Linked DNA regions of Oryzias latipes. The protein of the gene in region 2 purifies or fractionates together with the protein of the main gene of each other region. This does not show direct contact. Links are inferred from orthologs where the notes say so. Each region holds a gene or a part of one and is shown on either strand. Other genes may lie near its edges.

The links.
Region 1: the proteins of tyrosine-protein phosphatase non-receptor type 5 (region 2) and atp5po purify together in Homo sapiens (affinity purification with mass spectrometry; 3 studies listed by BioGRID and IntAct, with this or other methods). This does not show direct contact. The link is inferred for Oryzias latipes from reciprocal best matches to the Homo sapiens genes PTPN5 and ATP5PO.

The regions. Positions count from the first base shown.
Region 1 is NC_019868.2:17,462,041-17,466,441, forward strand, and holds the start of atp5po (ATP synthase subunit O, mitochondrial), read right to left. Parts: upstream 3,044-4,401; 5' UTR 2,987-3,043; coding exon 2,960-2,986; intron 2,671-2,959; coding exon 2,620-2,670; intron 2,527-2,619; coding exon 2,416-2,526; intron 2,197-2,415; coding exon 2,067-2,196; intron 1-2,066. UniProt on the Homo sapiens protein: Subunit OSCP, of the mitochondrial membrane ATP synthase complex (F(1)F(0) ATP synthase or Complex V) that produces ATP from ADP in the presence of a proton gradient across the membrane which is generated by electron transport complexes of the respiratory chain.
Region 2 is NC_019864.2:31,278,010-31,280,984, forward strand, and holds part of tyrosine-protein phosphatase non-receptor type 5, read right to left. Parts: intron 2,914-2,975; coding exon 2,803-2,913; intron 1,001-2,802; coding exon 840-1,000; intron 608-839; coding exon 494-607; intron 1-493. UniProt on the Homo sapiens protein: May regulate the activity of several effector molecules involved in synaptic plasticity and neuronal cell survival, including MAPKs, Src family kinases and NMDA receptors.

The DNA.
Region 1 (4,401 bases), on a different chromosome or scaffold from region 2:
AAAACTTAGAGAAATGGTGCGTTCTTGTGGTGTTTGAATGATTGGAAGAATGAAAAACAACAAATCTTCAAACACCACATGGATGCTAGAGCAGAGTCCACAAACCTTTTCTTGTGAGGGCCACAATGAGTCTTTTAAAACTTTAAACTTCTTTTATTTTTATTTTATTTTAAAGCCCCATAATATAGTTTTACTGATTCATTATCCTTTCAATAAAATAAATAACACTATTTATGAAATCAAAAATGACCAAATAACTGATTTTCAAAGACAAAAAGTCGGGAAAAAATATACAGATTTATTAAAAAGAAAAAACAAATAGTGGATCCTCTCCCATCTTCGCCCGCTGAGACTTTGAGGGCTGCAGCTCCTCAAACGTCTCACAGTTTGCGCTAAAACTGAGCAGCTGCGCTGCGTCACGGCGCGTCTGTTTCTCATCCAGTAATAATGAAAAACGCAAATTTCTATGTCTTCTGCTGCAGCTACGCATATATCTGCGTTACCTTTTCACCAGTACAGAGTTTCCTTGTTTATTGCTGGAGTTGAGTTCTAAAAAACCACCTGTGATCGGTGAAATCCACAGAGTCTGATTATTTACAGAAGTTTTATGGCAGTAAAACTCACTGCCTAAACACACTTTTATCCGACAGACATGAACATTTTCACACTTCACTGTTTAAATTCTCAAACCTTCATAGAAATTAGGGCCAGGATCTTAGAATGAAAACAAAGATCTGATTTTTTTATGTTAAATTATATAGATCATTTCTGAATGTCGTTTTGCTGCCAGATAAAGGAACTTCCCCATAGTGGGATTAATATAGTCATCTACCATCTAACTAAAAGAATGAGCTGATCCGGGAAAGGTGAACTGCGCCGCAGAAAGGACTGTCTTCTGTTCTGTTTGACAGGGATTTTAGAGGGTTTCAGGTTGGAGCACAGAGGGGGGGGGAATAAAATGTCACGTTCTATGCGGGTCTTGATCATGTGGCCAGATAAAAAAAAAAAAAAACATGGGTCTCTGATATTGTTCAGTGGGCAGGACCAATCATGGAGGCGGAACAAATCCATCATGTGGGCCGTAGTTTGCCCACCCCTGCTCTACAGGGTCATGGACCAAAATGACAACATCTATAAGTAATGACATAATAACAAAAGTGATATGAAGTCTAGAAGAGCTTTAGAAAATTTGTTGACATATCCTAATATGTGTTGTCTTTAAAGTCCTGATCAGGTAATTTTAGCAATTTTTAAACCCAGATGTTGGTTTAAAACTTTATAACTGCATAAATGAAGCTGTAGTTAAACTCAAATAATCATTGAAATCCAAGTTAATCCAAACTTTAATTTTCAAGTAATAGTTTAACACCAAAAGTTGTGAAACTACTCGGCTTCAGTTTTTTGTCGTAAACAACTTTCTGTCTAATTTGCAAAATAAAGTGACACTCTAGTAAACCTGTCTCTAATTTGACCATTTAATATTTAGCTAAATGTCTACAGTCAATATGCCATATCAACCCCAGTCTTTAAAAGACAGTGTCCTAAGTCTCATTTTGTTACCCTAGCTTTAACTAGAGCCAACAGTCTGGATTCTAAATGTTTAGCTAATACCAAGTAGGAAAACGTAGAGAGAAAAAAGGGCCTAGAAAAGCCCCTTGAGACTTGGAATTGGGCACTTTTACAATAGCAGTAACACAAAACAGGATGCAGAGCATACAAACAACACAAATGTTCTTATTTCACAAAGAAAATTGAGTCTGAATATTTGTCTAAGCAAAAATATATCATATGGTTTCTTAAATATTTTTTTCCAAACTTTACAACAGCAAAAACTCACATAAACTTAACATATTTAGTGAGAGGAAATGTTTCCAATAACTGGTCCTTTATACTTCTACATCTATTGCTTGTATCCAATACGGTGAGATTTTAATCATTAAAATACAAAGTTTCACCATGGCATTATGCAACATTCCTGCAATTTAGGCTGGTTGATATGTCTTTGTTTTATTATTGTCTTAATGAAAAAATAAGAAACAATCCATTCATCCTCAATGAATACTTACTGATGAGATTGACAGTTAAAGGGGAGAGCTTAGCCTTTGCAAGAGAATCACTGAAGACTTTCTGTTTGATGCTGCGCTTGACATGTGGGTTCAATACAATACCAGCCGTCTTGGGGTCCTTGATCAGGACCTGAAAAAAAAAATTAGACACGCCAAACGTTGATATTTTGACAAATTAGACATTTTAAAAATGCACATCACATTTAAATCCATTCAATCTTAAAGTAAATCTTAAACACAAATCAGTTTTTTGAGAGCCACCAATTCACAAACAATGCTGTCTTGAGGCACTACAAAAAAATACATCAGATCCAGACATTTGTCATTACAAATATTTGTCTGAACTCACAGACACTTTCCCCAACTCCTGTTCAACTTGGTCCAGTTTGTTCTGCTTGCTGGCGGCAGAGAACAAAGCAGTGGCATAGCGGCCCTCCACTCCATAGATCTGGATGGGAGGCTGAAAGAGAATATACATTAACCAGGTCAAATGAAGAACCCGAACTATTCACGAATGATTGGTAAAACACCAAGGAGGAGTGTCGGCACTTACCCTAACCAGCTTTGCAACAGGTCTGATCACAGATGTGCTGAGCTGGCGAGCCTACAAACAAACAAACAAACAAAAATAATAGCTTCATTCAAAACGCAAAATAAAGTAAACGTTGATGCACAAAATCCGCATTCGTCGCACGACAAACGAAGCTAGCTAGGCTAACAGGTTAGCAGTCATTCAAGAGCAACGGATCGACTGCTTTCTTTTTCAACATTTAGTGCTATCTTTTAGTCAACTAAACTAAAAATAAATGTTACCAAACGCTTAATTCCCAATAAAGCCTTGAGTTTAGCGAGTAAAAAGCTTTAAAATATGCGTTTAGTTTCGAATGTCGTACCTGCTGTCCTAGCATGAACGCTGCCATTTTCTCCTACAGCTGTCCAAGGTAGACCAAAAAACTGCGCATGTGCATCAGAAAAGAAGCTTTTTGTGGGAACTGTAGTTTATTAGTGGGTTATTTTTTGACAGGCGCATTTATACAAGTAAGCCGAAATACAGCTCTACCATGTGTTTAAAATTGTAAACCATATTAATTCAGAAACATTAATACTTTATTAAACCATACGTAAATGTCTTTATTGAGGATAAAAGTTTACATTGTGCAAACAACTAAACATTTCAGTTTAAAAGACACATGCCTTTTTTTTTTAAACCAAGCCCTCATTTTTTACTTGTTTTAAGATTTTCCTTATAATACCTTTTTGACTTTCTGCTTCCCATGCTAGGGAAAAAAACATTTTTTAACAGAAGTGTAATGCTGAGGACACTTTACAGATAAGACATCAAGTCTGCCATTTAGGAAACATGACTAAATATTTGAGTAAAAGGGAGAAGAACATGTAATTGTTTAAAAGCTTTGAGCAAACGTCAATAAAATGAGTATCTGACCTTTTACTTTAGTTTAAATATGTTGCATTCTTGTGTGTGTTTTCTATTTTTAACTGATGATCAAGAGTTCACATGAGTAAATTGATTGTGAAAGACCAAACTAGTCATTGCCTCTGCACATTTTTTTGTTTTCTCGTGACCTCTGTTAATACCCTGTTGTCGCTACTAATTCCACCCCCTCCCCTTTTTTACACTGTATTATACGTACTTTACTTTAGTACAATTATGGAATAAATCGATCCTCTGTCTTGTCCCTTGTCTTATCACTAGATGGAGACAAATACAGACTTAGTGAACAACTTTGATAAGAGGCTTAGAAGTAGTTTGAAACGTTGTCAAATAAAATCCTATTCCTAAAACTCTAAAAGTTTTCAATGACATTTTTTAAAGTGTTAACAGGTTTTGTTTGAGGTTTTGTAATGAGTTATTTTGCAATAATCCTATAGATATTGGTAATACGACCTTTTCTTTAATGTACTCCTTGAATAGAAAAAAAATTGGTAGTTATAGGAGTCCATGTGTAGATATTAACCTGGCACAAGTGAAAATACTCAAAAGTTTAAGTTTATTAAGACATCAATAATTAACTGTCTGCACATCAAATTCACAGTAGTGCATTCGGGAGGGCGGAAGTGGGGCCCAGTTCACCTCAAAAAATAAAAGCACAATTTTAAAATGTCAAAATTTCTGTTCTTTAGGGCAACGTTATATCACTGTAACGAAACTAGTAGACAGTATATGAAACAACATGTTAATAATTTCCCATCAAAAATTAGAATTGATGAGAAATCTAAAATAATTTTGTGATTTGACCTCAATCTTCGCACTTGTGACTTGAAGATGAAATGCATTTCTCACTTCAGACATTTTTTTAGGTTCGGGGTTCTTATC
Region 2 (2,975 bases):
TCAATTGGTTTCGAAAGATTTGCAGAGGAAGCACAGATACATGACATCAGACAAGAGGTTTTTAGGTGTGGCTCATGTTTTAGAGTTTAGAAAAGCCGGTTCTGTTCAGAGGTGTGATCTAATATGAAAAGAAATTATACAGATGTTTTACATTAACCCTTTTGCTATCCAGGCACTTTAACGTTGGGAGGTGGGTCATCTAGACCCACTAGACAGTGCTCTGAACCTTTTTTCTTCAATGATTTGTGATCTTCACTGGTGTCTATGGATTACATGAAATCTTTCCACCTTTATCCACCTTTGTCATGGTAGGGAGAACACGTCAATGGAAGGGTGGGGGGGGTCATCTGGACCCCATAGGATAGCACAAGGGTTATAGCATGTTCTGAACTTTACTGGCTTATTCAAATAAATTATTTTCTAAAAAGAGAATAGCAGTTTGAAATGTGAAATGTAGTCATTTATGAACAAAAATGAGCAATAAGGATTTCACCTGTCCAGACGGAGCTGGCAGGTGGTCCTCAGGATGTCGACCACGCCCTCAGTCCTCAGCTGTTTGCACAGGATGGAGGTGGCGATGAAGCAGCCTGTTCGACCAATCCCAGCACTGAAAAAGCCAAGAGTGGAGGCCAGAATCAGGACCGTGTCTAGAATATTTTTAATAGGGTGGCCAAACGGTGGGATGTTGATGCTCAACACCTTTTCTTTCTTGTCTTTTTTATTTTTGGCTGCAGAGTCTGCAGAAATGAGATTTTCTCTGAGCGTCTCTCCGTCAGCCGCTTCATTCTTTCTGTGACACTGACGTTCATGGAAAAGGCTTCAGACTTAAACGCATTTACCTGCAGTGGACAATGATTGGGCCACTGGAGGGCGGGGCTTCCTCTCTGGCTCGTTCCACTTCCTGTACCAGCTCCAGAAGGGGTGGGGCTTTGTCTGGGGTCTTCTGGTCAGGCCAGGAGGTGTACCAGTACTGCTTCAGACGGCGCTGCTCCTCCCCACACTGACCCGCAGACAGACAAAGGTACTGTGAGTGAAGACGAGTCATTCTCTATGTTGAACCACACGGCTCACTGATGTAGCCCAGTATTACACCACAGTTGTCACAATGGGCTTCACATTACCATGACAACAGTTAATACAGATAAAAAAAAAGCTTTCAGCGTATTCTTTCCTTTTCAGAGCCGTGTACAAATCTATCAGTTCCCACAATTCCCTGAGGGGCTGCCTGTAATTATCAGTACTACAGATAAACAAACAACAAGCTTTCAGCTCGGAGCACATCTAAACGAGGATCCCACACAGATCCAGTCCATGTGAGCCGTCTCCAGTTCAATGTCAATAGCTGTGTTTGCATGACGCAAATGTGCAAAACTTTACCCAAATTCTACAAAATGTCAAAAAAGCAGATATATTCACATTTCTGTCTGTGTGTGTCTCAGTTCAATGCATGGAAGACACAGGATGTTAAGAGATCAGATGTGCAGAGCTGTTGGCCACACGACTCATTTAGTTAGAAAAAAGTGTTTCTATTGCAGTTTTGCCAAATATGTCCATGTCCTCTAAGAGCAAAAATCATTTTTTAAAATTCAAGTAGACAACCTCAAATGAATCAAAGAGGGCCGTTAGTTCTTCACAAAGAGTAAAGCAACACACTAAAAAAAAGCAAACAAAATGAAATGAGCTTTAGCATGTCCCACCAGGCAGAGACACGGGGACACCCAGGACACACCGGAGAAACCACGACTCTCAGCTGGGAACGCCTCGGGATTCCCCAGAGGAGCTGGAGGAAGTAACTTACTTAGACTGCTGCTAGCTTTGGAGGAAGGGATGAAAATGGATGGAAGGATGGATGGATGAAAGGAATGGATGGATGGATGAAGGGATGAAGGGATGGAAGAAAGGAATGGATAGGTGGATGCATGGATGGATGGATGGATGGATGGATGGATGGATGGATGGATGGATGGATGGATGGATGAATGGATGGATGGATGGGTGGATGGATGGATGGATGGATGGATGGATGGATGAATAGATGGATGAATGGATGGATGGATGAATGGATGGATGGATGAAGGGATGAAGGGATGGAAGAAAGGAATGGATGGACGGATGGACAGATGGATGATTGATGGATGAATGAATGGATAGGTGGATGCATGGATGGATGGCTGGATGGATGGATGGATGGATGGATGGATGGATGGATGGATGGGTGGATGGATGGATGAATAGATGGATGAATGGATGGATGGATGAAGGGATGAAGGGATGGAAGAAAGGAATGGATGGATGGATGGATGAACGAATGGATAAAAGGATGGATGAATGAATGGATAGGTGGATGCATGGATGGGTGGGTGGCTGGATGGATGAATAGATGGATGAATGGATGGATGAATAGATACATGAATGGATGGATGAAAGGAATGGATGGATGGATGGATGAATGAATGGATGGATGGATGAAGGGATGAAGGGATGGATGAAGGAATGGATAAAAGGATGGATGAATGGATGGGTGGATGAATTAAAGGATGGATAGATTTTCCCTAAGTTTTTTTTGTTTTTACACAAAAGTAAGCAGAAAAACAAATTTCCTTGAACTCCACAACACATCAAATCTGTTTTATTTGTGATTTCTACCCTTTGACCTTTGTGCTAATACACACAGCCCCTTGTCTTTTCTTACTGCTGTCAAAAACACATTTGTTTCGATTTTCTCTTCATTTCTGGTTATCAGAAACAGTGAAACTCACGTTCCTCCCGTCCCAAGTTTGTCTTTGCTGTTTGAACACAAACCTTCAAAGTAAACACCCTGAGACTGTAGTCATCTTCCTGGGTTACCGAGACAACGCGGATCCCAATGCCCTCATGGGTGACGGCGTCCTCCGGCCAGTACTCCACACATTTCTGAGAAAGTCACACAGCAGATTTTCACTTTTCCAGCTCAAAGCTCCTCTTCGCCCTCCTCA